Linked DNA regions of Mus musculus. Each later gene encodes a partner of the first gene's protein in a complex. Links are inferred from orthologs where the notes say so. Each region holds a gene or a part of one and is shown on either strand. Other genes may lie near its edges.

Region 1 (10,459 bases):
ATTGGTTAAATGAATTTATTCTTACTGTTAGCAGAAGGACAGCAAGCAGCCTTAGAGCCACACAGCATGATGTGCAGAAAGTGGGGTTAAGGGGCTGGTGAGATGGCTCAGTGGGTAAGAGCACCCGACTGCTCTTCCGAAGGTCCAGAGTTCAAATCCCAGCAACCACATGGTGGCTCACAACCATCTGTAATGAGATCTGACTCCCTCTTCTGGAATGTCTGAAGACAGCTACAGTGTACTTACATATAATAAATAAATAAATCTTTAAAAAATTTAAAAAAAAAAGAAAGTGGGGTTAAGGTAGGGTTTTAAAGGCAGACATCAGAAAGGTGTGCTTTACAAACATACGTGGCATCGACAGCTGGGTAGGAAAACTATTTTACTTTCCTCTGGTTTTCTTTTTTTCTTCTTCCCCAATATGTAATAATAAAACGACCATTTTGCTGGTCGGTGATGGTGCACGTCTTTAACCCCAGCACTCGGAAGGTAGACACAGGTGGATCTCGGAGTTCGAGGCCAGCCTTGTCTATGGTGCAAGTTTCAGGACAGCCAGGGCTACACAGAGAAACCCTGTCTCAAAACAAGCAAAGACCATCCCATCTCTTCCCCACAGCAATAAGTGGGTTTTCCAGAGGCAAGGGCAGCTGCTGATACCACACAGCCCATTGTCTTATTCTTCTCACACGTGAAGTTCACTAGGCGCTCCCAGGCATCCCAGAGCAAAAGGTCTTCAGGCATGCCTGGCTTCATAGTAAGAGTCTTTAGCCATCACAGGGGACCTGTGTAAATCATTACACAGGTTAGCGAAGGCTACAAAAGTTTTAAAGAGGTCCCAGAGTTCAACCAGGCCTTACTGGAGACAGAAGCAGATAGCTAATGCAGACAGGGAGAGTCACTGCAGGTGTTTAGAAAATATAAGAAACCCAGCTGTAGATCTGCTGGAATTTCAGAGCCGAGCTTCAGGGTCTCCGGTACAAAAGTTAGAGCTGATCTTAAGATTAGAGCTGAGCTCCAGAGACTGTGGAAGGCAAGACACAGAATAATAGTGGCAAATTGCAAAGCTGGTGTCCAGACAGACGAGCAAAAGGTGGGAGGTTCACAGTTGGAGCGGGCCCCATCAAGCAACAACACTCATGCTGCCCTGAAAGCGCCATAGGCAGTCGTTTTGATTACCTTTGGACACCTTGATGAAAGGGTCTCCCAGTAACAGGCTGGCAGGCGGGGCTGGAGCCATTGCTGTCACGGTTGCAGAAGTCCTCTTTGTTATGGGGCTCAATGCAGGGGTGTTGCACACTCATTCTTGGGCCTGGTTTTCCTGAGACTGTTTTAATATGCCCATATGCTACCCATTTACTTTGAAAGCTTTTCATCTGATCTCTTTTTTAGTTATAGAAACATTATTTCTTAGCCTTTGCTTTATAGTTGGTGCCAGGTAGTTTTTGGTATCTTTGAAAACAAATAAGATTCAAAGTCCACCCTGCCTTTCTTTCTTTGCATCGAAAATGGCATCATCTGGCATAAAACATGGCCTTAATCACTGTTTCACACAAGATGAAGTAGTTTAAAGGCAAACCACTACCTCACACAATATGAGGTGTGTAACAAGTTGGAGACAGTTGGGTCTTGGCTGTCCTTTGAAGCACTTACTAACAATGCTGGGCCAGGGATCAGACTTGGGCATCATTTCACAGAGGTGCCAGTCCTCCAAGAAAGCGAGACAGACTTGAGGAAGCAGTTAGGCATGACCATATGAGGGGAAGGGGACACCAAGAAAACAAAATTCTCTAAATCAACATGAGCAAGGATCATATACATTCACAGAGACTGAGGCGGCCTGCACAGTGCCTGCATGGATCTGGATCTACACCAGGTCCTCTGGGTGTGTGCGTGTGCGTGTGCGTGTGCGTGTGCGTGTGCGTGTGCGTGTGCGTGTGTGTGTGTGTGTGTGTGCGTGCATTATTGTGGCTTCCAGGTTAGTGTTTTTATGGGACTCCTGAGTGTGTGAACAAGTGATTCTCTGATCCTTGTGCCTTCTCTTGGGAGTTTTCCTTCTGCTAGTTTTTTTTCATGTCCAACTTTGATGTGACTGCTCTTGTTTCACCTTATGTCTTATTTGGTTACATGCTATCTCTTAGAAGCTGGTTCTTTCCTAATGAGAGATAGAAAGAAGAAGGAGCAAAGCTCCTGATTTGGGGGGGGGGGGAGCTGGGACGAATAAAGGGAGAGGAAACTGTAATCAGGATATAGAATGTGAGAAAAGAATCTATTTTTAATAAAGGGGGAGGAACCTAAATGCCAACGAGCTAGTGGAGAAATAGTACAGAATGGTGTATCTGTGTAGCTGAATATTAAAATAAGAGGAAATACTGATGTGTGGAACTTTAGAGCATGATGCAATCTAGACTTGATAAACCAGCTAGGAAGGACTACATATAATTCCATTTATTGAAATGTCTAAAATAGGTCAATCTACAAGCAAAACATAGATTAGTGATTACCATAAGCTTCAGGGATAAGGAAATGGGAAACAATTACTTTTTCTTCTCAGAGTGACCTTTTCCCTAGAATTTGATTGTAGTCTCAGTTCCAGTTGTCTGACCCTCCCTGATGATATTTAGAGTATATCTACAGTATATGTTAATAAATATTTGTATTAAAGTATTTTAAATTTTTAAAGATTTATTTATTTATTATATGTAAATACACTGTAGCTGTCTTCAGACCCCTTTTCTTCTCTCTCTGTTCCTGCTTGATCTGGCCCTGTTCACTCCAGCCCAAAGATTTATTTATTTATTATACGTAAGTACACCATAGTTGTCTTCAGACACTCCAGAAGAGGGCATCAGATCCCATTACAGATGGTTGTGAGCCACCATGTGGTTGCTGGGATTTGAACTCAGGACCTTTAGAAGAGCAGTCAATGCTCTTAACCACTGAGCCATCTCTCCAGCCCCTAAAATTATTTTTATTTATTTTTGAGACAGGATCTTATATACTTCTGAATGGCCTCAAACATACTATGTATGATCCAAGGATGAAGTTGAACTTAAAAAAAAAAAAGATGTATGAGTATGAATGTTTTGCCTGCACATATGTGTAAGTGCACTGTTTTGTGCCTTGTGCCTGAAAAGGCCAGAGTGTGCTGAGTCCCCTGGAACTGGAGTCATGGACGTTTGCCCACTGACATACGGGTGATGGAAATCGAGTCTGGGTCTTGTTTTATTTTGTGTGGCTTAGTGTTTTGCCTGCATGCATGTCTGAGTAAGGGTGTCAGATCTTGGAATTACAGCCAGCCATCATGTGATAGCTGGGAATTGAACCCTGGGTCCTCTGGAACTGCTGAGGCAACTCTCTAGCTCCAGAACCTGGGTTTTCATGAAAAGCCACAAATGCTTTTTATTTTGGAGTCATCTCCTCAACCGTTGCTTTTTAATTTGTAATTTTTATCAGGAGAGGGATAGTGGTGACTTGTACTTAATGCCAGTAAATGGTTAAAGTGGCAAACTTAAACACGTGTGTGTGCGCGCGTATGCGTACACACACACACACACACACACACACACACAGATATGGTAAAGAAAAGTATTCCTACTTGTAATAGCTTAAGAAGATGGTTCAGGAACACTGCAACGTGGTCTTGTAGGGAGGAAAATATGTTCAATTACCAATTGTGGAACATTATGGGTGAAGAGGAATGGATCTGTGAAAGAGAAATTAGGAGGATAATGGCTGAAGCCAAGGAGATCTGACCTCTGGGATAAGGTACAGGTCCAAAAACTTGATTATATCCAAGAGTGTCTGATGATGCAGAAAGATATTTTACAGAAGAATGCATAGATAGGCCTATGGAAAAGATCAGGAGCATGGCTGAAGTTTGGCCAAAGACTTGCCATATTTCTCAGCACAATAAAAAAATAATAAGCCGGGCGTGGTGGCGCACGCCTTTAATCCCAGCACTCGGGAAGCAGAGGCAAGCGGATTTCTGAGTTCGAGGCCAGCCTGGTCTACAGAGTGAGTTCCTGGACAGCCAGGGCTACACAGAGAAACCCTGTCTCGAAAAAAAAAAAAGAAAGAAGGAAAAGAAAAGACAAAAATAATAAAAATAGAGACAAATTACCCCACAACACTAGACGCGTTACGAGGTGGGGACGCTTGGGTCTCGACCGTGCTCTGGAGCACTTGCTAAAGAGGCTGAGCGCGAGATTAGACTCGGGTATCCCCGCCCCCTCGGCAGAGGCACCGAGTCGCCAAGAAGGCGAGCTCGACGCGCTCACCGACGGCTCGCTCTGCGCAGGCCCAGCTCGCTGGGCGGCGACCAGGGGTGGGGTGGGGACCAAGAGGCCGACGGCGACGTCCCCGCGCATGCGCATGACGCCAGCGTGCGCCTGCGCAGCAGCGCCGAAAAGCGTCAGCGCGTGACGGCGCGGGAGGAGCTGGTGCTGGGTGGAGGACGCGGTGTTTGGGCCGCGTGGGCTCACACGAGGTTAGAGGTCGTCTGGTGTGGCCCCATGGGGCAGGGGCTGCCGGGGTGTGTTCCCTGCGGAGGTGGCGATTCGAGGGTGTGGTTCCCGTGCGAGCCGAGGCCCTGTATGGGCTTTGGGCCCGGGGCGAGCAGTGGAGGTTTGGGGTGCGGTGGCCTGCAGGTTTGCAGTGGGGCCCTAGGCAGAGTCTGGGGTGCAGGCCAGGTTCTTGGGGTCCGGATGGGGTCGCGATCCTCTGCTCTTTCTACCCACAGGTAGCTCGCGGCGTCCGGCCGCGCAGGCGCGCTCAAGATGTCGTACATGCTTCCGCATCTGCACAATGGCTGGCAGGTAGACCAGGCCATCCTTTCGGAGGAGGACCGCGTGGTCGTCATTCGTTTCGGACACGACTGGGACCCCACTTGCATGAAGATGGACGAGGTTCTGTACAGCATCGCCGAAAAGGTAACTCATGTGCAGTGTTCGCCGTGCTGGGCCCCGCAGGGCGGTTTGGACGCCAGATTTCAAGCCCGAGTCCTGTGTTCCATGCAGAGACCCACAGAGAGACGGGGTTCATGTACGGGCAAGGTTTGTGCTAGAAATGGTTAGAGTTTCTTAAAATTTGAAGAAATTTATGATTTCCTCCTAAAATAAGTGATGATAAATTTTGGGGGTTTTTTTGTGATTACGGAAGGGGATGGATGGTCCGAGATAGGTCTTGTGTATGTATCTATATGTATATATAGTCAGACGGACCTTAAACTCGCCGCCTCAGTCTCAGAGTTCTGGGATTACCGGGCACCACTGTGGATGATGTTTTAAAAAATTTACTAGGGCCAGGTGCGGTGGCATATGCATTTAATCCTAGCACTCTAGAAGCTGAGGCACTGATCGTTCTAGGCCAGTCAGGACTGTATAAGACTGGGTCTCAAAAACAATGTATCGCCGGGCAGTGGTGGCGCATGCCTGTAATCCCACCACTTGGGAGGCAGAGGCAAGCGGATTTCTGAGTTCCAGGACAGCCAGGGCTACACGGAGAAACCTTGTCTCAAGAAAGAAAAACAATGTACCTTATGTGTAGTCAACAGAGTGACTTTGCAAGCTTTGTTGAGCTTGTTGGAGCTTACTTAGGCGGCTTAGCTTAACATTATTGGCCTTTTCTCAATATTTTATGGATTTATTGTATTTATGAAGCAGAACTTTTAGGTTAATACCATGATGGACTTTTTAGCCCCCACCCCCTCTCTGGGAGAGAAGAAAACCGGATTCACTGTGTCGCCCAGAGGGACCTTGCACATTCTTTCCTTCTCCCTGCCTCCTCCCAAGTCCTGGGATGAGCCTCAAGCTCTTTGTAAGTTACTTGATTTGTAGCTTGCAGTTATTCAAATGCTGAAAGTTGAGTTTGGGTGGAACTGGTGTTCTTAGTTTTCCATATTTATAAGCAGGGTGGCAGTACTTGTTTCCTGACACTGGAAGTGTAATTGTCAGGCACTGTTACACGATTAGGAGGTTCATTCTGTGAATTCCTCTTCACGGTTTTAGGATGACTTAACTTTTTTATGATTGTAACAATAGGGCAAAGACTGTAATATTTAATGATAAGTAATTTCAATATTATTTTATTTACTTTCTTATTTATTTGAGACAGGACCTCCCTACATAGCCCTGGAACTTGTGTAGACATGTATCTATATGTCTTTAGACCCTGCAGACAAGTCTATCTGCCTTTGTCTCCACCTTCCAGTGCTAGCTTTAAAGGTGTTTGCCACCATGCTTAGCCTGAAAGTCAAAGAAGAGTTAACACTGATAGAAATGCTGGAACTATTTTCCTTCTCACCCATGCTGCTAACGCCTGCTGGCTTAAAGTAGTTCTTAGCTTTCAAATGACGTCTGCCACAGGATTGTCACTTTATTTACTTGAGCTATAAGTGAGGCCAGGGTCAGGTGCCTTGCCACTGAACCATAGTCACCATAGCAAAGACATTCTCTGGAGTAAGACACGGGGATGTGTGCGTGTGAAGGAAAAGCAGCAGCATTTGGCTTTCTGCTTCCGTGTTGCGGAGAGGCTGGTGGAGGGCAGTTCTGACATCCAGTTATCACAGGTGTCTCTGCGAGTGCTTCTCTGGAAGCTTGGAACACGGTTGGTCTGGGCTGAGGCCTCCAGGGGATTCGGTGCAGATTAGCTTCTGAGGAGCAGCTTCTCAGCCAGCCCTGCCCTGTTCCTCTGGGAGTCTCTCTCCTGCAGGCGTGCAGGCTGTCCTGTCAGTCAGGCTAGAGGTACGAATGAGGTGATTGGGTCCCTCAGAAGGCAAATGCAGAGATTCACTGAAGCACCACTACAAGCAGGTCCACGGCTGAGTCTGCTTTAGTTGAGGACAGCTGTCCTTTAGTTATTCTGACCTGAAGGTGGTTTGACCAGTGTCAGGAGGGCTTTCCTGTCAGGAGGGCTGTGTCTGAGGCCCTTTGCTCTTCCCCAGCTAAACAGAACTTAAGCGTTTCCCGTACTTGTTATCTTGTTGTCTCAGTGCTGCTCAGGTGCAGACAAGGCCAGCCATCCCACTCACCAGACATGCGCTGTATTTGGTGTTGGGTTCATTGGTCTCCTTCAAAAATATTTCCTTTAGTCTTTTAATTTGCATTTTCTTTTGTCCAAAAAATGTGATTGCATTCTTAATGAGCTCCCTTTTTGCTCCTCTTAATAACTCTGGTACCACCATGCTAGCCAGGTGTCCTGTGCCCGTCCTCCTCAGTCACTCTTCACCTCGGTATTCACTGAGGCAAGGTCTTTCCTTAACACTGAGCTTGCCAGTGAGGCTCGTCTTGCTAGCCAGCTTGCTCTAGGGATCCTCTGTCTTCCATCTTTTAGGACTAGAATTAAGGTAGGCCATCATATCTTCTTGATATGGGTTTCTGGGGGTCTGAACTTGGGTCCTGCAAGCTCTTTAACCACTGAGCAATTTTTTCCATACTCTTAATAAACTTTTAATACTATGTTTTAGTATAGTTATTAAAAATGTAAGTTTGAATTACATTAAAATCACTGTTGTTCTACTTCCTTAGTGTAATGGCAAAATACACATTCGTAAGTTTGGGAACTCCAGGGAATTTTCAACATAAATTTTTGAAATTTAAGATTTTAGTATGTAAAGAACAGTATAACTATTTAAAAATCTCCCTCCGCAGAAATGGAAGATAGTGGGAGATCTTCCTCATCTTGTATGAGTCCTGTTTGGATATCCCAGCTGTTTTAAAGTGAGTAAAAGTTACATGTGTGTGCAGGCTGGACTTGAGTGCCCTAAAGTATGTTGCTTTAGCCAGTGTGCTGCTGCTGCTTGCAGTGTGCACCTCCCGTGATGCTGGAGTTACTGAGTTCAGTACTTGAGGAAGAACGGTGGTAGGGAGCACGCAGACTTAGATCTAGTGCTCACTGAGTAGGTCCTCTGTAAAATGACTTCAGGCAGTTTTGAAGAAAGATTATTTCCTGAACCTTCTCTTTTCCCATGGGGTAGGAATGTACTTTGTCACAAAAGTGCTTCTAGAGATCAGAATTCCCTTAATACTGTGACATACAAAAATGGTGAGTGTTTTTAATATACTAAAAAGCCCATACAAATGGCATTTAATATCTTCAGGGATGAAATGTGATGGTGTGTTCTGAAAGAATCATTGTGGCTGGTGAGACAGCTCAGCAACTAGAGGCATTGCCACAGAATCCACATCAGAGTCAAGGAAAGAACCAATTCCCTCATTTATTCTCTGACCGCCACACATATGTGATGGCGTGTATGTTCTACATATATATACACGTTATACATACAAATGCATGACAAAATTTTAGAAGACTATACAAGACAAATAATGTCCATAGGGCTTTTAAAGAATAATAGGGAGCCTGTCCTGTACGAGACTAAGGATTACTGTTGCCCATGCTTTCTAAAGTTCCATAGCTGCAGGAAATAAATCCACTGGGCAGATGCAAAGCAGTGTTTTTCCTTTACATTTTAGATTTTCAAAATGGTTATTGGAGGAAAAAAGGAGTGGACATCCACTTTAATCTCAGTTTTATATAAATCAGGTGGAAATTGTAGTGAACTGTGAACTGGTAAATGGCTGGCCAGTAACAGGAGACTATATGCTGCTGGTCCATATCTTACCCACATGGGAGCATGAGCCAGAGCCCAGGCAGCCCCTCTTTGAGATCCGTTGCACACACACTGGTGCAGATAGAACCCAAGAAGGCTCAGAGGTTAGCAGGGACCAGGGAGGTCTCTGCTGCACTGGCCCCTTCTCCTCTAACTCCTGCACTGTGTGTATCCCATCTTCGCTAGAGGATTGCGGGCTTTGCCGAGACTTCGAGGTCCTGTTGGATAAGAGCATCTCGGAGCATGAGTACAGAATTAAGGTGGTGTAGTTACATTGAGGCTGTTTAACCAGGACTATCTATCTGATAATCCGTACTCTCCAGAGATACATTTGTGATGACAGTGCTGTGTTTCTTGAGTTTTGAAATACACCTTTGTGTCAATTCCTCGAGGCAAACGGTGCTGGTGTCGCTTGTGCTCTGAGGCATCCTCTGTGATTGTGTGGAGTCTGACAGGCCTGTCTGCCGCCAATATGAACATCCGCCGGGCTCGGCCAGATGACCTGATGAACATGCAGCACTGCAACCTGCTGTGCCTGCCCGAGAACTACCAGATGAAGTACTACTTCTATCATGGCCTCTCTTGGCCCCAGCTCTCCTACATTGCTGAGGACGAGGATGGGAAGATTGTGGGCTATGTCCTGGCCAAGATGGAGGAGGACCCCGATGATGTCCCTCACGGACACATCACCTCGCTGGCTGTGAAACGCTCCCACCGGCGCCTCGGCCTGGCCCAGAAGCTCATGGACCAGGCTTCCAGGGCCATGATTGAGAACTTCAGCGCTAAGTATGTATCCCTGCATGTCAGGAAGAGCAACCGGGCGGCTCTGCACCTGTATTCCAACACCCTGAACTTCCAGGTTAGCGAGGTGGAGCCCAAGTACTATGCAGATGGGGAAGACGCGTATGCTATGAAGCGAGATCTCTCGCAGATGGCCGATGAGCTGAGACGGCAGCTGGTGCTGAAGAAAGGCAGATATGTGGTTCTGGGCTCCAAGGAGAATCAGGGTAGCACACTTCCTGGTTCTGAAGAGGCCAGTCAGCAGGAGAACCTGGCCGGAGGTGACAGTGGTAGTGATGGCAAAGACAGCACTGATGTCCAAGACAGCTTGCAGACCCTAGGGTCCGCCTCCTAGAGCCTGCCTGCCTGAGCACTGCAGGTCCTTGTATTTTAGCCACATTGTTCTTGGGAACCTTGCTCTGTGGTCCCTGAATGGGACCTGAATGGCTCTCCTTTCAAAGCTTTAGCAGCAACCTTCTGCATAACCTGTGTGATCATGGAGGCACACCTAGACACAGAACCTGCTGTGCGGGAGTCAAGGAAGCCAGCCCGAGGACTGCCGTGCAGCCCTTTCTTGGCTTCTCCACGCTGCCGTCACATGCTGCTCAGTACTGTTCTGACTGTGTCCTGCAGCTTTCTGCTTGGAATGCCAAACAGGAAGTGGGGACAACTCGAGGTCCCCAGCTTCCAGCCTTTGCATTATTTATCTGTTTGTTTGTTTTCCTTGGAGTAGAATCATCAAGTACTGCCCTTGCTTTCTGTGGAAACTGCCCTGCCCGGCCCTCCCTCTTTTTGAAGAAGAATGGTCCCTTTCCTGAGGGAGAAGGTGATAGGTGTTAGACTAGTACACAAGCAGAATTTGTAGCTCTAAGGAAAGAACACGCAGAAATTAAATTGCATTCTCTAACCTGAAAAAATAAAAATATAAAAAGGAGTACACGTTTGTTGTGGGAATTCATTGGTCAGTCCTTACCTGGTGCTTTGGGTTTAGTCTCCAGGGCACCTCTGCCGAGGAAACATTCCACCTGGTGGGGTGTTGGGTTTTGCTGAAGAGTTATAAAACTACCGAGGCTT
Region 2 (10,469 bases), on another chromosome or scaffold:
GGCTGACCGTCGAGACTCCTCTACCCTGTGCAAAGGTGTATGAGTTTCGACCCCAGAGCTCTGTGTGCTTTCTGTTGCTGCTTTATTTCGACCCCAGAGCTCTGGTCTGTGTGCTTTCATGTTGTTGCTACTTTATTAAATCTTGCCTTCTACATTTTATATATGGTCTCAGTGTCTTCTTGGGTACGCGGCTGTCCCGGGACTTAAGTGTCTGAGGGAGGGTCTCCCTTCGGGGGTCTTTCATTTGGTGCATTGGCCGGGAACTCGAGGGTCTTTCATTTGGTGCATTGGCCGGGAATTCGAGGGTCTTTCAAAGACACTTCTGGTATGCATGAGGTCCCTGCTTTCAGCCTCAGCACTGCAAAAAGAAAGTTGCTAGCATTCATATTGTTCATTCATGGGAGACTTAAAGCATTGACTATATTATTCTTTTTCTGGTGAAAATAAAGCAGGAATACAGATAGAAAAGAAAAGCCAGAAAAGAAGGGGACGTCATAAACGAGTTTGGCCTCACTCTGTATTTAAAGCCTTACAAATATGTTATGCATATGGGTGTTTTGTTTGCATGTATGCCTGTCTTTGTGACTTTTCTATTGCTGTGAAGAGACACCATGACCAAGGTGCCAATGGGCATAAATGAGATATAAGAAATTCAAAGAGCATTGATTAGATCCAATAGTACATCTGGGAATGTGGTAGTTTTAGTGCACCAAGGCAGATAAATTGTTGCTTTAATGTGGTTTATGGTTATAAAATAACCTTTCTTTTACATCTATTTTGCCTGTTGGAGTACCTATATGGGAATGGGACTACAGTTTTTGAGAGTTGATTTACTTCTTCACCTTGTGAGTTCCAGAGTTTGAACTCAGCTTATCCAGCTTGGCAACATTCATCTTTAGCATCTCTGAGCTGTCTCACAAGCCCCCTCTAATAACATATATTTGTAAATAACTAATAATGCTACCCATGTGCTGCCTCTACCCTAAGACATTGTATTATGTTAGTATTAGGAAATAAAGATCAATAAGTGCCACGTGCCCTGGTTGAGTCAGCTTAAGCCAAGAGGCTTAAAAGTCACTCATGAGGCAAAGAGCTTCAAGGAAGGTCTCCTCCTGGAGTCTGGTGTTCCCTCTAACCCATACATTAATTTTCCATTCCCGCGTTAGTCTAGTGTATGGATCCACATGCTCTCTTTCAGTATTTTCCTATTATAAGTGCCTTTTAAGATTGAATTCTGACATAACTAAAGCCTTCCGCCAGTGTTCCAACAGTCCTAGAACGTCCTTGAGCTAGACAGTGACATTCAGAATAGCCTCTGGTATTATCAATAAAAGCCAAGTCGCTCCCATATACAGGAATTTACAGTGGTTTAGGAAGTAGATTGGGCTGTGGTTTTAGAGTATAGCATTATTCATGAGATGGTTAGATAGAATGGAACTCCCTAGTTAGAACCATGACTTGGGTGTGAAAGCCCTTGCCCTAAGAGAGTAAAGACCTCACACCTGGCTTCTAAGACTATAGCTGAGTTACACCCATACACACATATTTACAATGGCCTAAGGGGAAGGTGGACTATAAATAGACTAAAATAGGAACTATGGCAAGGGCACGAAGCCCTTGACCCTGGCTTCTAAGATTAATCAAATCTTAGGTGGAGCCCTTTTTGATCCCAGTTGTTAACAATAAATTCTATCCCAGGTGGTTCCCGTTAGACCTGTGTTTGCATTCCTCTGTTTTATGTAAGATTCTGGTTACCTCATTTGTACCTTGCGAATATGTCACCCAACTTCCTTATTGTCTTCTGCATAAAAAGTCTGATGCTCGATTTGAAAAATACATTCAGATTCCACACAACCTCTCCTGTGTGCTTCTGTTTGTCACTCATCCGACGCTTTGCCCACCCGAGACTAGAGACCCGTTCCACGCAGACAAAGGGGCCCAGAGGGTCTGCGGCAAATAAGTAACAAGACATCACACAGAATACCTATTGCTGTGTACTAGATCTTGTCCTAACCAATTTTCATAGGTTATTTCATTTAATCATTAAAATAATATTTTAAGTTGGTGAGGGAGGTAGTTCCATGGTTAAGAGTATTGGCTCCTCTTCTAGGAGACCTGGGTTTGATTCCCATCATCTGCATGGGATTCATAATTGTGATTTAAGTCCCAAGGGATCTGGTGCCCTCTCTGGCCTCCATGGACACCAGACACATATATTGTGCACAGACAATAAGCTGGTTTGAATAAAAATGAACTCCATAGGCTCATATATTTGAATGTTTAATTTCCAGTGTTTGGAACTGTTTGAAAAGATTAGAAGGATTAGTAGGTGTGGCCTTAGAGGAAGTATGTCACTGGAAGCGGGGGGCGGGGCTTTGAGGTTATCAAAAGCCATGCCAGGACTAATCTTTTTCTCTTGGCCTGTGGATCAGGATGTAGCTCTCAGCTACTGCTCCAGTGCCATGGATGCTGCTATTACTGCCCCCCCACAAGAATGATAATGATCTAAAGCTCTGCAACTTAAAGCAAGTTCCCAATTGATGTTTAAGTGTTGCCTTGGTTGTGGTGTCCTGTGGGAAGCCACATGTGCTGTTGCTGAGTGGCACTGACTACTGCTGGCCACCACACATAAGATTGGACAAACAACCAATGTGTACATATGCAGTAAATTTTTTTGCAAAGACACTGCCTGGCCCAGGCATGATAATGAGGTTCTGTAAGGTACTGAGAGTATAACCAATCAGATGTGAGACATGCAAATGAGGTATGATAATGAGGTTCTGTAAGGTACTGAGAGAGAGTAGCCAATCAGATGAGGAACATGCAAATGAGGCTTAGTGCATAACCAATCCGGGTGTGAGACACGCCCCTCCTAGGCCTATAAAAGCAGCACCAGTTCTGGGCTCGAAGTCTTTTCGCCTCTACAATCAAGCTCTCCCAATAAACGTGTGCAGAAGGATCCTGTTGCAGCGTCGTTCTTCCTGGCCAGTCGAGCGCGCGCAAGAGTGTCCCTTCACATCAATAGAAAAGTCACAAAGACAGACATACATGCAAACGAAACACCCATATAATTAATTAATTAATTAATTAATTAAAAATAATACTGTGTTTGCCATTACTATCAGTGCTTCTAATAGAAAAACTAAGATTTAAAAAGCTTAAATAATGTACACATAAGAAAAAATAATTAGTAGAAACTGTGTTGGGGTTAGTGAGATGGCTCTAGATAAAGGTGTTTTCTGCCATGCTTGTTGACCAGAGTTTGAGCCCCGGAATACACATGATAGAAGGAAAGAACACATTCCTTCAAATTTTCTTCTATTACACATGTGTGTGCACTCATATGGTGCACACAATTCAATGTAATTTTAAAAACAGTTTTAAAAGCTTTTAAAAATTGTGAAGTTTGGATTTGACTAAAAGTCACTAAATTCAGAACCAGTGGATTTAATCACTATGCTATGTCCCAGTGTTCTTAGTCTTGAGGAATCGGGTTTTTGAAGGGTAGCTAACTTTGAATAATTATATTAAAAAATACATCCAAGTAATCCTGACAGCTATTGACACTGCTGTCAGCCAGCATCGGCCTCCAACAAGACTACACAAGTCAGGATAGGTGATCATCTCTGGCCAGGGTCCTGCAAACTGAACATCTTTACCAGGACATTGAGCAGTATCATGCAGTTAAATAGAAAAAAAAATGAGTGAAGACTGGGGTTACTCAGGAAATGGATTTGAAAAGGCAAGTGTTTTATGCTCAATGTGGGAGAAATGGGTATGGTTTAAAGACAAGATCAACAAGAGAAGCTTGGAGTGACACACATCCACTGCACACAATGTTTCCTTTTCTCAGAATGCGGCTTTTGCCTCTTCTCTGCTTACCCATTCTTAGTCACTGTGTGAGAAGACTCCCAACAACTCCTCAGTTCTTCAAGCTGTGGCCAAGGGACAGTGTTTTAACTTGTTTTAAGCACAAGGAACTTAATCCTGACTCTTACCTCAAAAGGATGGCTGTCAAGTGTGTTTGTAATTGCCTTGGGACCTAGTAGATCTGTAAGACTTATAGATTGGGCGTGGAGGAAAAAAAGCCACCACTGGCTTGGAATTGAGAATGGAGCTGAGTTTTCATTGCTTTCCATATTAAATCCCATAGTGCTGTGCACATGAAATGTACTATTTGTCCTCCTTCCCACTCTCTTGGTTGAAGACTTTTCTGAACATTGTTTTATGTATCCAGCAAGCTGCTAGTCAAACAATATTCCACTGATATGTTTTTTCAATGGAGGAATGAAGGGTGCTCATCTCTCATATTTAGGCTGTTTGGTTTTAAGTCTGTCACATGAGATGGACAAAGGCAAAGTATTTATCTGCTTTAACAACAACAACAACAACAACAACAACAACAAAACAAGCACGTAAACGAACAAACAAAAAACACTAGGGCCCAAACTCCGGGCCTCATGAATGCTAGGAAAGTACCCTATAGCCAAGCTACCAGCTAGCCCTTGTTAGTTTTAATTTCTTATTTTGTGTCGGGGTCTAAGAGGGCCATGCCTGCAACAGATGCCTCCTTTTGTCTCTCAAGTGTTGGGTTTACTGGCCACTCCACGTTAAAAGGGGGCTTTTTAATCTTTTCCAATGCAGAAGTGTGATAGCAAGGTTTCCAAACATGATGGAGTCAACATACAGAGTGACATCTTACGGTTGCCTGCAAATTGAAAACTGATAGTGACTTTAATGCCTGTAATAAACCAGACACCTAGAAACGACAAGAAGAAATTAAATAATAGTAGAAGTTTTTTGTTTGTTTGTTTGTTTGTTTGTTTTTTCTAAAAAAAAAAAAGCTTGTGAAAAATGCTGCTTTATAGACTTTCAGTCCTCTGGCCTTAAAAGTACCAGATTCCTTAAAAAAAAAAAAATGAGTAGTTGTTGAGGAGCATGCAGAACGAGTTTATAGTAGGAAATATAAATTGATTTTATTGCTCTGAAGAAAGATACAGGCTTGAAATGCAACCTTCTAGAGGAAAATTAACCGACTCAGAGATCTCGTATGCTGGTCTTCCGGCGGCAAATTATCTCTGAAGTTTAGCAAAACTTGGGGGTACCATAGGTGCCTGTTGGGTTGGTGGCAGGGATAGAGATCCGAACCTCTCTATCGAATCTGTCTGCGATCCATTGGGATCCTCTGGATCTCAAGATCGGCTTTGGATTAGTCTTGTCTGAACCAGCTGTGGAAAAGGGCGGAAGCGCGCAATTTTAAAGTCTGCGCCGGTGTCCTTAGCCACTTCCGGCGTGGCCATGGCGGCTAACGCGACCACGAACCCGTCCCAACTCCTGCCACTAGGTAAAAGTCTTGTTTGGGGAGCGGTCGGGTTGCTGCAATTCCACGCTGGGGGCCGAGGCTGGGCCACCGCCCCTCCGGGCCCGGCTGTCCGGTCCTTGGCGTCACTGGGCAGACAGACAGACCGTTTTGCCTGTCGGTGGTCGGTGAGGGTCCCACTTAGTGAAGGACGTGCTCGGCCTTTTTGAGCTCGCCAGTAAGATGTCATGAGTCGCGCAGTCCCAGTTCTCAGCTTGGCCTTCTTGGTCTCCAGATCAGGTAGACCCTGTATTGGCTTGGGTAAGGAGTGCGCCACGGCATACAATGAATCTTACAATAGAAATCTGGAAACTAGCCCCGTCGTTCATTAATTCAACAAGCAATTCCCGCGCAGTGCCAGAGAACTGTTGAATAATGAACTTGAATTACAGCCATTGCTTTCAAGATCGCACACCGGCACGCATCGTGCTGAGCAATTCTAAGATGCTGAGATGAACAGGTTGGCCCAGGAGCACAGAGAGTTAAGGTTAAGTGAGAGAAGGAGTGACGGGAAAGCCGGTGTCTGTAATAATGCTTCTCCCTTGTCATGTTTTGGGGCTGGTGAGCTTAGTGAATGTGTCTGTGATTGAAAGTTTTTGCAGTGTTAGATATTGTTTATCGGTACAAACACTGATGAAGAAAAACAGTTATGGTCTCCACCCACCTCATGGTGTGTGTTTTCATACATTAATCAAATAATCTAAATAAAAATCACAGTCCTATTAATTGCAAATAAAGAGTTAAGTGAAAGCTAAGGCAAACATTTGTGCTAACGATTAAACAGAGATTTGTGTAAGATGTAAAATTACCGAATGGTTCCAGATACATATGTAGGAGAGTATGGCCTTTTTTGACATCATTGGGAGGGGAGGCTCTTGATCCTGTGGAGTTTGATGCCACAGCATAAGGAGAATGCTGGAGTGGGTGGGTGGGTGGGGGAGCACCCTCATAGAAGCAATTGGGGAGTGGGGAGAAGGTAGATATGGGAGGGGTGTTGTGGAGGGGTAACCAGGAAGGGGGAATATCATTTGAGATGTAAACAGATGGAATGATTAATAAAAGTAAGTAAATAAATAAATAAATAGCAAAAAACTGAATGTTTTTGCTTATCTTTAATGATAAAAAATAATAAGTGAAGTAGGCATTCAAATGTTGGTCGATCTAATAAGTAGGTAAAATTACCCTTTTCCTTCCACAGAGCTTGTGGACAAATGTATAGGGTCAAGAATTCACATTGTGATGAAGAGTGATAAAGAAATTGTCGGGACACTTCTAGGATTTGATGACTTTGTCAGTATCCTTTTTAAAAGCGGGAATGGTGTAGGTTTCTAAAGATGTATTAATATAAGAAAGAACTATAGACAACCGAAGAATTTCTGGTTATTACATTAAGAATAATTTTGTTTTCCAGGAACTTGGTAGTATTTTAAGAGGTGTGTTTGCTGACAGTTGATAGGGCTCTTGCCAACAACAAACCTTTTGAATTTGCACTATCATAGTGTTGAACATATTTTAAACCAAACAAAAACATATACCTGAATAAACCTTATTTATTTTCTTAACATTAAATTCAGATATGGTGTTGGAAGATGTCACAGAATTGTGAGTAGTATTTAAAAAATTAAAAAAATTTGAGAGGAGGGGAGGAAATCTCTTTTTAATTAAAGATGGTGCCTTGATTACTTTTTTCTATTAATGTGAAGAGACAGCATGACAAAGGTATCTTATGGAAGAATGCGTTTAACTGGGGGCTTGCTTACAGTTTCAGATGGTTAGAGTCCCTGACTGTCCTAGCTAAGAGCTTATATGTTAGATAATAACCAAGAGAGAGAGAGAGAGAGAGAGAGAGAGAGAGAGAGAGAAGTAAATAGAGAACGCGAGCGCACTAAGTGGGTATAATTTAGGTTTTTGGAATCTCAAAGCCTAACAGGGTGATACACCTCCTCCAAAAAAGGCCACACCTCCTAATCATTTCCAGTTTGCCAACAGAGGACCAAGTGGAGGCCATTCTCCTTTAAACCTCCATAGCAGCTTTAGTATGATCGATATAAAAAAAATTACTTGTTGGAAAATACCTTAATACTGAAACGTTATTTACTGGTGTTTGTGAGGTCCAGTTAAAGGATTATTATCTTCATATTATTCCTGAATTTGTAAGAAATTAGTGTGAACAAGCTTTATGGTGAATTATATTTACATGAGTATTATCCAATGGGCAGTTTGTATTCTGTATATATTTACTGTAATTATATGCGTTCACATTGAATCATGTGTAAGAATAACAGCTTTGTCACTAGGGATTGAACCCAGGGCCTTGTGTGTGTGCTCTGCCACCAAGCTATTCTCCTTACCCCAGTAGGACTTTTAGGGAGGGAAAGTGTTTCTAATACTGCCTTTGATTACTTGTTTATCCAGACTCCATTTAATCTATCTTTTTAGTGAAATTACACCAGAAGGAAGAAGAATTACAAAATTAGATCAAATTCTACTAAATGGAAATAATATAACAATGGTAAGACATTAAAACTTTTCTCTGGAAATTATTTTACTTTTGTAGTGTAGGGATTATGGAACTGACTTAAACTTCTATTTCGTTGGCAATGTTCATGGCACTGAGATAGACACACTGAGGATGGGAAGGGAGCCTTGGTGATCTGTGCCTCAGGGCAGCTGTTGAAAGTGCTTTGGTCCTTGTCTTAGTCAGGGTTTCTATTCCTGCACAAACATCATGACCAAGAAGCAAGTTGGGGAGGAAAGGGTTTATTTGGCTTACACTTCCATACTGCTGTTCATCACCAAAGGAAATCAGGACTGGAACTCAAGCAGGTCAGGAAGCAGGAGCTGATGCAGAGGCCATGGAGGGATGTTCCTTACTGGCTTGCTTCCCCTGGCTTGCTCAGCCTGCTTTCTTATAGAACCCAAGACTACCAGCCCAGAGATGGTCCCACCCACAAGGGGACCTCCCCTCTTGATCACTAATTGAGAAAATGCCCCACAGTTGGATCTCATGGAGGCATTTCCTCAACTGAAGCTCCTTTCTCTGTGATAACTCCAGCTTGTGTCAAGTTGACACAAAACTAGCCAGTACAGTCCTTAGGATTAGCTTGCTTATTAATCTTTGTCGACTTCTAGCTCATCCGGAATCATTAATAACTTAGACGTCAGCTAGTGATGTAGGGATTACTAACAGATGGACTTGGAGAAGATGGGATGTGAAGGATGGGGGAGAGGCAAAGCTGGCTTTGGTCCACGAGGGACACGAAGGGTTTTTTAGGTGGTGTGGTAGTGTTATTAATAAATTCTTTTTCTCCAATGCAGCTGGTTCCCGGAGGAGAAGGGCCTGAAGTATGAATGGATTTCCTCGACGTTGTTTTCAAACCTTTAACATTTAGAGTCTATAAATGAAGTTTCCGTTAAAGGGAAACTCTTTGAAGATATACATCCATTTTTCTAAGCTAATCATGGTTATTTTGGGAAAAGAAGAGTTTTGTTTTGTCTTCTTTTTTTTTTTAAAGACTAAAAAAAATAAAGATGTTTTTGGTTAACTGTGATTTGATTTATTATGTCGAAGTAGCTCGTGAAGCAAATATAGTTTTTTGATACTTAGTTTCATATTGATTTCTGTTTATTTTCTCCCTCATTTGTATTAATTTGATTGGGGCAGGGGTAATTTTACTCAGTGGCTTGAGGGTAGGGTGGAGCAGAAGGGATCTGTCTAATGAGATGTCCTCCAATGGCTGTTCTCCCTGGCCTCTTTGCTAAAAGTGAACTTAGGTCTTGTTCTTTCAGAGATTTTCTTTATTTTTATTGTATGTGTATGCGTATCTTCCTGCATGTGGGCCTACTTCATATGCAGTGTCTGCGGAGACCAGAAGAGGTGGTTGGATCCCTGGTACTGGAGTTACTGTGGGCTGTAACCTGTGCAGTGTGGGGCTGGGAATTCAACCTGGGTTCTCTGTGTGAGGAGCTTGTGCTCTTAACCACTGAGCCATCTCTCCAGCTCCTGAACTGAACTCTGAAACAGCATTCATTCCAAAACAAAATGAACTTTGAGTTTGAATGTATCATTTAAAAAACCTTAATGATCCCTTAAGAAAATTCAGTTCAAACTCTATTTCATAATGATGCTTTTCACATTGAATTCAGTTTTTATTAATTCCTATTATAAACACAGACCATGTATGCTGTATTGTACAAGTGCAGGTAAGTCAAAAGAAGTAATCACATCTTATATTTTCCTAGCTTGAAAAGACATTGTTTTTTTTTTTTTTAACGTGTATGAGTACCTGCTTGTATGTCTGTGTACCGCTTACCTGCTTTGTACCCTCGGAGTCCAGAAGATGGTGTTGGATCCCCTGGCACTGGTCTTTTCCTATACTTAAACCAACAGCAACAACAATAAGCATTTACTTACTTTGGGTGTGAGTGTGCCCTGTGGGTGTGTGAGTGCCACGGAACATGTATGGAGGTCAGAGGACAACCTGCAGGACTCAGTTCTTCTCTTCTCTCACATGGGTCCTGGATATTGAATTTAGTCTATTAGCCTGAATAGCAAGTGCCTTTCCCGGCCGAGCCATCTCACCCACTCCTGTCAGAGGCTTTTTGAGTGTGTACGTTTAATCAAAAATTTGCTTTTCCTAAATTTTAGACTCCATGCTAAGCGCAATTTTAGAGACGGTTAAATGATGAGTATTTTTCTGTGTCAAATATTTCAGCAGTAATATCTATAAAGTTTTATTAAGTGTTTTTACTATAAATTATTTCACCTATGCTTATTGGCTACAGTCATTTTAATAAATCTTTATAGTTCTTGTTTTTCCTAGAGTAAATTCGTAGAGCACATATTTCATATTGCCAACAGGAAGTTTATTTCATGCTACTTTTGCCTGTTTTTCCAGTCCCCTTACACCCTTTCAACATTCAACTATGCTGTAATTTTCTCTTCCATGTGCTAAGCAAAACCTGATTTAAAAACTTTTAGAAACTTACTTTGGACTTACTTGTATTTTTGAGTTATTCGAGGCCTTCTCATCCAAGTCCTTTTTGGAGGCACTCCCTTCCAGGCTGGCCTTGAACTTGCGATCCTGCCTCAGTGCCCCAGCACTAGGGT
Region 3 (10,493 bases), on another chromosome or scaffold:
AAAAAGGTTAGCAGTACTTAAGGAACAACACCCCAGAGGCTAACCTTTGGCCGCCATATGTGACATGTGCATAAACACACACCAAAAGCATGCCAAATGTTTGCTGTCACTAATATTCAGAGATAGAAAGAAGATGGCAGCTTTTCAACCACTGAACTGAACAGGCCCTTGCTAAGAATCCATGCTGAGTGCTGTCAACGGTGAAGAACTGCCTCCAACCCCTGCTGAGGAGGCAAATCTGGTAACTCTTCCACAATCCAACCCTAAACCCAGGTACCTTCACCAGTGCTTACGAGGCTCCATTTACAACAGAAAATAGGGGCGCCTAAGGAGTGGCCACTGAGAACTAGTTCCACAGCTCTGGGCACTGTACAGCTAGCCGTAAGGCAGGTGAGCAGTGATGGGGAAATGCTCACAGCACAGCACAGCACAGAACACTGCTCTCTGATCCTGTCTCTATAAAAACCACATACACTCATACAATAGAACTGAACTGATAAGTCTGAAACATAAAGGACAAGTGAAATACATAGAAATACACAGGAAAAAGAAAAAAAGTACAAGTGCATTCAACCATGAAAATAGATATTTCTGGGGATAGAACTTAGTGAACTTTATTTATATTCTGTGATAAGTACATATTTTAAAATTAAGAGTGCAAGTAGAGGGCTGAGTGGTGGTGGCACAAGCCTTTAATCCCAGCACTTGGGAGGCAGAGACAGGTGGATTTCTGAGTTTGAGGCCAGCCTGGTCTATAAAGTGAGTTCCAGGACAGCAAGAAACCTAGCAGAGAAACCCTGTCTTGAAAAAACAAAAAACAAACAAACAAAAAAAAGAGCTCAAGTAGTGATAAAACTGTAACAAGTTAAACAAAAATAAAAGTCCTGTTCTAAGCCAGTGAAGAGAGAAACACTTTAAGAACTCAAAAGCAAACTGAGGTGTCAGGTGGAGGCTTTAATAACACAGACAGATTGGACCTAGCAACCGGGAGCCTTGGACTCGGATCTCAATGTGACTGCTCTATTAGTCAAATCCTTTCTCTCTGCAAGGGTGGGCTGTGTCAGCAATTAGCAAACATGGGATTATGTGCACAAGCTCATCAAAGATGCTCAAATTATTAGATAAGCCAGACAGACAGCTAGTCCCGATACAGATCTCTTGACTTAAAAGCTCTAGGCTAAGGGTGAAATGCCTTTTGATGACGACTAATCCGTCCACCTTCTGCCCCTTTAAGAACACTGGGTTAGATAACCCAAGATAAGCCCTCTATTCTAAGTATGCCAAGTACCCCCACTAGTACCCTTCCCCAAAGCCTAGTTCGTTCTTACCAAGCACATCCTGGGGGTTGCCAGGGAACTGCTTGCTGAGCACAGTTTCGAGGGCATAGCTCAAGTCCATGCTGTGCCTGGTGATCTCTGCTGGTGTGGCTCCTGCTGGGAACATCTGAGTGGGCAACTCTGAGAAGCGGATCTCTGTCCCAGCCCTGGGCCTCATCTCGGGCAGCCGGGCTAGGCCCTCTTGGTAGCTTCTGCACTCGGTGCCGCAGAGGGGCAGGTTCTGCCCCACCCTGTCCTTGGTGTGCTTCATGAAAAGCACAGGCAGCACATCTGAGAAGGCGCAGATCTGCCTGCTCTCAGGCTGCAGCTTCTCCATGGTGGCCTCACTGATGAAGTTGGTGAGTGAGATCCATTTCTTGAGTGTAGCATATGGGTAAGGTCCCAGAAACTGGTCTAGGTCTGGGAGATTGGCTCTCATAGCTTCTACTTCAGCCTCTGGAGCTGGAGACAGGTCTACTTCTTCCTGGACTGCATTCCAGCGCAGGACTGTCAGCCCCCGCTGCTTCAGGCTGAGGAAGAAGCCCATGCGAGGGCCCACCTCCCTGGGATTGGCCTTGTCCACAGAGCTGTAGTACAGGAAGTGGATGCCAGGGGGAATCATCTTCACACCCCGGAACTTGGGCCCCACCTCCCAAGAGTTGTAGTCAATGCCAAACTCTGTCCCCTTGGGCATGTTCAGAATGACCACCGTGGCTCCTTCAAAGAAGAGCTGCTTGGCTAACTCTGGATCCATCTGCATGGAAGACATGAAGCCAGTGGAGGGTAACCAAAAGCAGGGCTCTTTTCTGTCTCCTACAGAGAAAGAGAGACAGAAACAGTTGATCAGAATATGGGAAAAGAATACTTTATTTCTTGCACATTCTCTATGTCAAATATTGAATTAGATCCTGACAGAAATTAACTCCCTTTAATCTCCATGGCAACCCTGCATCTGTCTAACAGATGAGGAAAATCAGAATCAAAGAGATTTGGGGGTTTTGATTTAAGGATCAAGAGTCTTCATTCCACCACTCCAGGGGCACCACTTAAAGACAGGTGGTCACACAGTACCAAAATAAAACCTGCCTGCTGGTACTGCAGGCTTGTGTCCACTGCCCATCAGATGTCCCTCTTTCAACAGCAGTGGAAGGTAGAAACGGCTCAAATGGCTCATTTTAAATTAGAAGAATGCAAAAGTCGCCTTAAGCTACAATTCTACCTAAAACCTGCTACTGGAGAGTACCATAAGATGACCAAATCAAACTGGCTACCTAATTTTCCATGAGCATCTAAAATTAACAAAAAGTCTGAGGAGCGAAGGAGAGTTTTTCAAACTCCCTTCTTTCACTCATCAAAAGCCTAGTTGGAAATGAGGGAAAGCAAAGGGCTGGGCTCTTAGTTTAAAACAACTTGCCAGGGTGCAGTGCTACATGCCTGTATTCCCAACCCTTGATCTGGAGTTCAAAATCACCCTTGATTGCTAGAGACGGTCTTCTCAGAAATCAACAATGAAACCAAGCGGCTGGTGAGAACGCGGTTCATCAGGTGCAGTGCTTGTCCATTATACACAAAGGATCCTTGGAACCACAAAAACGATTACAAAAAAAATTCTGTGATAGACAAAGACAGAGGCACAGGATCAGACACTAAAGTCATTCTCAGTACACAGTGAACCGGAGGCCAGCCTGGGACACATACACAAGACACTGTCTTAAAAACAAGCAAACAATCACAAAACAAAAGCACTGAAAGTCCAGGGATCAAACAACTTCCCCAGAGTCACAATCCCGCCAGAGACTGACATGGCAGGTCTACAGTGAGTGCTTGAGGAGAGGCTTGGATTCTTTATCTTATCCACATTTAAATTCCCTATAAAGACACTTTGATTAAAAGCAAAGGGGTTGAGGGTGCTGGCAAATGCTCAGTGAGTAGAGGCACCTGCCTTGTAAGCCTGACAACCTCACTTCGATGGCCAGAGCCCACTCAAGGGTGGAAGGAGAAAAGAGAGCACACAAAGCTGTCTAACCTTCACATGTTTGCCCCAGCATATGACCCACCACCCCATCATGCACTCACATGCACTCGATGCTAAAAACAACTGTGTAGCAGACACTGTCGTCTCTGCAGTATCTGTAAGAATGTTTTCAGCAAGAACCAATCAATGCAAGCCAATCAAGTACTTCAACTTTTACTGAACTGAGTACTAAGTCACTTACTCATCCTACTGACAAAACACTCAGATTACAGGCACTACCCAGGATCTTTACTGGGCCCCAAAAGAAATATCCACAGAATAAGACTACTGAAAACCAGATATTTGTATTTTACACAGAAGTGGCCTCAAAATACACAAGCAGAAAAATCGAGTGCTGCTTGATGTTTACTCTTTTATTTAAAACAAACAAAAAATCCTTTTACAAAAAAATATTAGGAGCACACTTCATTGTCTTTACCTAAAAAAACAGGAGAAAAGACTCTAAATTAGCACTCTTTTTCAAACTGCAAGATGTATCTTGAGTTAAGAAATCATTTTTAGCCGGGCGGTGGTGGCGCACGCCTTTAATCCCAGCACTTGGGAGGCAGAGGCAGGAGGATTTCTGAGTTCGAGGCCCAGCCTGGTCTACAAAGTGAGTTCCAGGACAGTCAGGGCTACACAGGGAAACCCTGTCTCGAAAAAACAAAACAAAACAAAACGAAAGAAAGAAAGAAAGAAAGAAGGAAGGAAATCATTTTTAGACAGAAAGCTATCTGAAATAATGAGAAAAGTTACACAGAAGCCAGAAGAGGATGCTGAATTCCCTGACACTGGAGTTAGAGGTGGGTTTAGCACCATGGCGCCCTTAGGAACTGAGTCCAGGTCCCCTGGAAGAGCAGACAAGTCTCTTAACCACCAAGTCATCTCTCCAGCACCAAGAAGAGAACTTTTAAGCTATTGGAATGCCACAAGTAACAAGGATAGGAATGGTTCCAAGAAGACATGTGCTTGTATATACATGTGATCACAGCATAAAAGTCTTGTGACTGTAGTTCACAGTAAAAAAAAAAAAAAGTCTGAAACACAAACGAATACTCTTCACAAGCCTGCAATACAGAGACAACTCCTCAGCGTATTCACCGCCTTCCAAGAGTGGAGAGTACTTGGTCCTCAATGCGTTCTCTATCTGGCTTTAGGGAATGGCCCGAAAACGCTGCATGAATTTCCCTGGGCAACTCTTCAGCTAATTTAATACCACCCCAATCCGAAGGATTGTTCTAACCACACTGGCTTCTTTCTTACCCTCACACCAGAGAAAACTCTACCCATAGCACTTGGTCACACAATTATTTTTCTTTTTTTAATCTTAGTAAAGCCTCCTCGACCCGGGACTAAGTCAAATGTTGGTGATGACACTCTGGCTACCCTGTTGCCGTTCAGTTCCAGGGACAGGTGTGTAACTTTGTGTACTTGGTTGAAGACTGTCATGCCCACAAGACTCGAGTCCCTGATGCCTAGCATACACACGAAGCTTAATTTTTTTTTTTTAACTTACGATAATATGCACTTTAAATAAAGCCAGGAAGCCGGGTAGGTGACTTACCGGAAGCCACGCAGATCCAGCTCGAGTGAGTCTCGTTCTCTGGTTACAGTTAAAGGGGTGTGGGGGGAAGTTCCTTCGGGAGCCCCAGAGACCCTGACCACGGTGTCCTCAGGGACGGGTTCTCAGGAAGAAAGGCCTCCTCAGACACCAGCTCACAAAGCCAGACTCCGCCAGCGCGATTCTGAGACAAGAAGCGAGGTGGCCCGACCACACACAAGGAAACCGGAGGCCGAAAGGCGCACCGAGGGCCGACACTCACCGTAGCACCTCAAGCTCCGGTTCCGCGGAAACGGGACGGAAGTTCGGCTGCTTTGGTGCCGGATAGGTGCTACGGAAAAAGTAGTCCGGCGGAGCCCCGAGTCTCAGAAGAAATGGCCCGTGCTTCCAGGTTCCTCACGATAAGCACTTCATTTTCTTCTTACTGTTTCGTTTTACTTCCCGAATTATAAATAACGACTTTAATTAAACTATCCACTTTATATCCCCGTCCAGAAACATACTCACCATCCACAGTCCTTTTGGTCTCAAGCAGACACGGGCTGGCCAAAGCATGGTTCAGGTGTTGGCACACAGTAGCCACAGACTGGCTCAGTCATGGTTGGTCCTCTTTAGCCACATTTCCTATGCCGGTCACCATGTCAAAAGTTCCCTATTATCTCCAAGTCCCGGCTTCCAGACACATTCATCCCTAGTTTCAGAACCAAGGCTGTTGCCTGAAGGGAGAACCAGTCCCTTCAAACGCAAACACAGCAGTTCCTCTGGAAATGACCACCCAGTGTTTTCCAGGCCTTACAGAATACAGCAGTCAAGCTATAAATGTGCACTGAGTGAGGAAACCTGACTGTCTTTTTCTTCTCTATTTCCTTAGAACCTAGCACATAGCCCTCATAAATGTACTGTGTATTTAATAACAAATCAAATGATGTGTATAGTAAATGACTATCCATAGGCCTTGCTGTATTAGTCAGGGTTCTCTAGAGTCACAAAACTTATGGGTAGTCTCTATATAGTAAGGGAATTTGTTGATGACTTACAGTCTGTAGTCCAGCTCTCCAACAATGGTGAGCAGCAGCTGTGAATGGAAATCCAAGGATCTAGCAGTTGCTCAGTCCCACAAGGCAAGCAGGTGAACAAGAGAGAGAGAGAATCTTCCTTCTTCCAATGTCCTTATGTAGGTCTCCAGCAGAAAGTGTGTGCCCAGATTAAAGGTGTGTGCCATCACACCTGGATCTGGAACTTGCTTTGTCCCACATGACTTTAAACTCAGAGATCTCCCCTGTCTTAATCTTCTCGGATTCATAACCACTATGCCTCAAGATTTCCATGCCATTATCCAGGTCAGACACTTGCATCTCCCAGCCTCCAGATTAGGGTCACTGTGAGCCTACCAATTCTGGATTGTAGTTCATTCCGGATATAGTCAAGTTGACAACCAGGAAGAGCCAGTACACTAACCTTGTGCTCAGTGGTTCTGTACATCAGAACTCCACCATGAGCCAGAGCTACTGGGAGATACATAGATACTACTTCTAATCTCCTCACTAACCATAGCCAAGATGTGACCCTCCTCTAATCTTGTACTGCCAACTTTCCCGACCTGATTGTAAGCTTGTTTATCTATAAAGGCAGGATTCTCAAAGGCCTTCAGTCTCTTCTTCGGGTGACTTTACCAAGACTGGCTGTAGCTACAATGGCTGACAGAGCAGAAGACAAATAACCTCCAACTTCACTATTGCCCACCTGCCTCTTAAGTGGCCTTCCTACAGCACTGATGGTTGTCAATGGAGAGAAACCATAAAAGCATGCCCAAATTCCTGGAAAAGCCTTGCTATTCCCAGAAAGGACGGGAGTCCCTCTGCCCCCTTTACTGGCTATTGATTGATTGCATCATACCTGCATATCTATAAGCCCGGGTTGGTAAAGGGCTTGATCTGAGTTTAATCTCCCATCTCTGTTCCTATCCCTTGCTGATAGATATGTCCTCCATCTTTTTACTGGTGCTACAATTCTGGGAGAAGAATGACCAAGTATAGGGATAAAGACTTGGCAATTAGGATTCTCAATTTACAAAAGAGGAAACTGAGCTTCACAGAGGCACCACAAACCCCAAGAGTACAAACAAACAAACAAACAAACAAACAAACAAACAAACAAACCATGTGATCTAAAAGCAGCTGGAGTTCTAGCCCCTGTGCTGCTGCTTCTTGTGTGTCATTGTTCCCCAGCGACAGCTGACCACATCAATCTGCCCCACTCACAACTTCACAATTCATGTTTTAGGGGGCTGCAGACTAGGCTAGACAGGGCAATCATAGTTAATCACAGTGGGCTGCCACAGGTTAGCCAGAGGTGAGTCAGGCAGTCAATCTCAACCTTCCCTATCAGTTCCATTTCCCTTGGGAACTGGCTCAACTCCTTCCCCCTCCCCTCTCTACTCCCTTCTTAGGTGCTGAACTCTGTGGTGTGGGCTCCGAGCTTCCAGGTGGTTTCATATGGCTTCTCCATATTTTTAGAGTCCCAGGGCATTTAACACTGGACATGGAAGTTGCAGGATAGAAAGATGCTGGCCTGGAACACCCAGCTTTGTGAGCTACACTCATCCAAAGCACCATTTCTCAACTTTGGTACCCATGGTATGTGAGGTAGGTAATTCTTGATGGCAGACAGCTGTTCTGTGGATTGGAAGAAGTCTAGCTGCAAACATAGGATCCAATCTCTAGAACACTGGTCAACCATAATGCAAAGTCTTTCTAGAAACTGCTACCTTATACCCTTTCCAACTTGAGCTGAGGAAGCATTGAGTCGGATGAACTACCCCGGTTATTCTCCAGGTCCAGGAGGTGCAGTGCCAATGTCTGTAAACCAAGTGCTAGTCCAGGAGCCTAAAAGCAACTGATCATTAAATGGAACTTAGGAGGAAAATTCTGGAAACCATTCTCAAAGCTCCCTGCAGCAATTGCCTTACACAACAAATAGGACTCTGGAGAAGACTGGGTTCTTCCAGTGTGTAGCCTTTGTATCATTTAATGAGCTGGCTTTACAGAGGAAAGCAGTTAATAGCATCTAAAATGACAGGAAAATGTTCAGAATGTAAGCTTTTTTTTGTTTTTGTTTTATTTTGTTTTGTTTTGTTTTGTTTTGTTTTGTTTTGTTTTGTTTTGTTTTGTTTTGAGACAGGGTTTTTCTGTGTAGCTCTGGCTGTCCTGGAACTCACTCTGTAGACCAGGCTGGCCTTGAACTCAGAAATCCACCTGCCTCTGCCTCCAAAGTGCTGGGATTAAAGGTGTGTGCCGCCACCACCCGGCAGAATCTAAGCTTTTAAAGCATTTAGGATGATATGTGCAAGATGACTTTGACTCTGAAAATAAATATATATGGAAAAAAGACTTGTTTGTGAGATTTGGAGTGATATAGAAAGGGGAACTGGGGTGATTTTCTTGACAGGATAAAGTAGAAACTGTAGAATGTATACCTCAGATGCCCTAAGAAAGAAGATTAGGTTTTACACAGATGTTGATTTTAATTTCAATCTTTATTCATTCCTTTCTTTTAGTGCTAAGATCTACGGAGTGTGTGTGTGTGTGGTGGGGGAATGTCTGCACGTGTGTGTGGGCATGTGTGTGTGTGGTGTGCCTGTGGTGTGTGTGTGTGTGTCTGCAGGTGTGTGTGTCTGCAGGTGTGTGTGTGTGTGCTGTGTGTGGTGTGCCTGTGGTGTGTGTGTGTCTGCAGGTGTGTGTGTATGAACCATGAAGTGCATATAAAGATGGGAGGGCAGCTTGCAGGTTCTCTCCTTCCATCCTGTAGGTCCCGGGGATTGAACTTAGGCTGTCAGGCTTGGTGGCAGGTGCTTTCACTTTATCTGCTGAGTCATCATTGGCCCCCTAATTTCCTTTCTTAAATAATTATTTTCAAAGTGAATTCCTTTAAGGAAAAGTAAGTCAGCAGTGGGATGGGTGACATGAGCCCGTGCTGGGTCTGCTGTGCACATTTCTCACTAGGCTCCCACGTGGGGAGTTGCTCTTCTTTCAAAAAGACAGATTACACTACACCTCCCCTCCCAGGTCTTGGGACCCATATACTTACTGTCCCCTTGGCCTAGAAAGTCTTACTGGTTCTTTCTCTTTATTTGGCTCAAAAAGAAAAAAAAAAGATCTCCTTAGGGAAGTCCTTCAACTGGTCAACCACTATTTTTTTTATCTTTGTGAGGGGTGGGGTCTTGTTAAAGTGGTCCTCTCCACCTCCTTCCTCAACATGTCTCCTTCCATGTGCTGATCTCTAGCCAGTTTTTTTTTTTTTTTTCCTGTTTCACTGTTCCCCCGCACTGGACTGAGAGCCTTTGACTAGCAAGGGCTTTGCGCTTGCGCCCAGGGAGCCTAAGCCAAGGCGTGAGTGCCGTGGGAGCTCTAGACATTTCCTGATTAAAATTATTCTATATTAGAGCCTAGATTGGAGCCTGGCTTCAATCTCAGCACGAGGAAGGGCAAGGGAGGTGGGTCTCTTTTGAATTCCAAGCTAGGGCTATGTAGTGAGACCTTATCTCAAAAGCAAAACCAAAGTGTTGGATGTTGGGTATCTCCACTCCAGTTCTCTATCAGCTTGGACCAGCAGCCAAGGTCAGAGAGGAGAGGCAGAGGGGAGGGGGAGAGAGGGAGGCTGAGGGAGTCCATGGTTCAGCATCAAACACATTTATTTCACTTTTATTGATTATACAAGAACAGAGAGCACACGCATACAGCACGGAGCACTGAGGTGGGGAAGCGTGGGGACGAGAGAGGAGAGAGGGGACTGGGAGAAAAGGAACAGGACAGCATTGCAGGTGGCTGCTAAGGTGCTTTTGAAAAAAAAATAGATATCTAGAGTGATGTTGCTCATGCAATTTCAGGCCAGTCTTGGTATGTGCTTGCAGGATTCAGAAACTGAAACAGCTCCTGGCACTTCCTCTGCCCTCGTGTGGAAAAGATTCACAGAAAGCAAACGTGGGGAAAACAAAGGCGCATGAGACACAGAATGGGAAAGAGGCTCAGGGTGTAATGCTTGCCCTGTCCTTTGAGTTATGTGAAATGGGACAGCCCAGTGTCACACGGTGAGTTAGGAGCTGCATTGAGATGCTCACCTGGAACCCTGACTGCTCTAGGTGGCTTTTCTCACTGTTACCTGGCCCCCTGGAGAGCGAGGTGCCACAGAGATGATGAGACAGACACACAAAAAAAGCAAAAGGAAAAAGTAGGCTGAAGTCAGACAACACAACGTCCTTATTCTCTATGAAGTGGAGGAGGGGGAGGAGACGGTGCCCTAGATTTTAGCTGTGCAGGTCTCCTCCTCCCTGGGCGGGGTACTGACTGCCTCTCTGGGAGAAAAAAAAATAGTAAGAACCGGTCAGAACATCCATGGAGTAAGTATCTCCCCAAACCCTAATGTCCCACGAGCTAAGCTGGGTCATTTCGTCCTTGCCCTGTAGCCCACATTCAGAGCAGGTACAATGAGGCTCCCTCTGAGGTATGTATGTCTTGTGTGTTCAGGCCGGGGAGTTCCTGCAAAAGTAGGTGAGGCCCGAGCCTGATTCCAAGGTGATAGAGCCGTTCCTGCTCCGGGCTCAGAG

Evidence for each region. Proteins that work in one complex are often made in the same cells at the same time.
Region 2: Txnl4a (region 1) and Lsm5 share a complex: the UniProt entries of both Homo sapiens proteins name them as parts of the precatalytic spliceosome. The link is inferred for Mus musculus from reciprocal best matches to the Homo sapiens genes TXNL4A and LSM5.
Region 3: Txnl4a (region 1) and Aar2 share a complex: the UniProt entries of both Homo sapiens proteins name them as parts of the U5 snRNP complex. The link is inferred for Mus musculus from reciprocal best matches to the Homo sapiens genes TXNL4A and AAR2.

What each region holds. Positions count from the first base shown.
Region 1 is NC_000084.6:80,202,416-80,212,874, forward strand, and holds the start of Txnl4a (thioredoxin-like protein 4A), read left to right. Parts: upstream 1-4,410; 5' UTR 4,411-4,486; exon of another isoform or gene 4,487-4,646; intron 4,647-4,738; 5' UTR 4,739-4,775; coding exon 4,776-4,928; intron 4,929-5,694; coding exon of another isoform or gene 5,695-5,814; intron 5,815-7,646; coding exon of another isoform or gene 7,647-7,685; exon of another isoform or gene 7,686-7,715; intron 7,716-8,997; coding exon of another isoform or gene 8,998-9,042; exon of another isoform or gene 9,043-9,077; coding exon of another isoform or gene 9,078-9,740; exon of another isoform or gene 9,741-10,319; intron 10,320-10,459. Other genes in the region: Gm16286 (N-alpha-acetyltransferase 11-like), read left to right, coding at 9,078-9,740. UniProt on the Homo sapiens protein: Plays a role in pre-mRNA splicing as component of the U5 snRNP and U4/U6-U5 tri-snRNP complexes that are involved in spliceosome assembly, and as component of the precatalytic spliceosome (spliceosome B complex).
Region 2 is NC_000072.6:56,699,498-56,709,966, reverse strand, and holds Lsm5 (U6 snRNA-associated Sm-like protein LSm5), read left to right. Parts: upstream 1-5,267; 5' UTR 5,268-5,298; coding exon 5,299-5,344; intron 5,345-6,557; coding exon 6,558-6,653; intron 6,654-6,933; coding exon 6,934-6,961; intron 6,962-7,798; coding exon 7,799-7,871; intron 7,872-8,677; coding exon 8,678-8,710; 3' UTR 8,711-8,904; downstream 8,905-10,469. UniProt on the Homo sapiens protein: Plays a role in pre-mRNA splicing as component of the U4/U6-U5 tri-snRNP complex that is involved in spliceosome assembly, and as component of the precatalytic spliceosome (spliceosome B complex).
Region 3 is NC_000068.7:156,542,285-156,552,777, reverse strand, and holds the start of Aar2 (protein AAR2 homolog), read right to left. Parts: upstream 5,203-10,493; 5' UTR 4,895-5,202; intron 2,927-4,894; exon of another isoform or gene 2,751-2,926; intron 2,130-2,750; 5' UTR 2,086-2,129; coding exon 1,329-2,085; intron 1-1,328. UniProt on the Homo sapiens protein: Component of the U5 snRNP complex that is required for spliceosome assembly and for pre-mRNA splicing.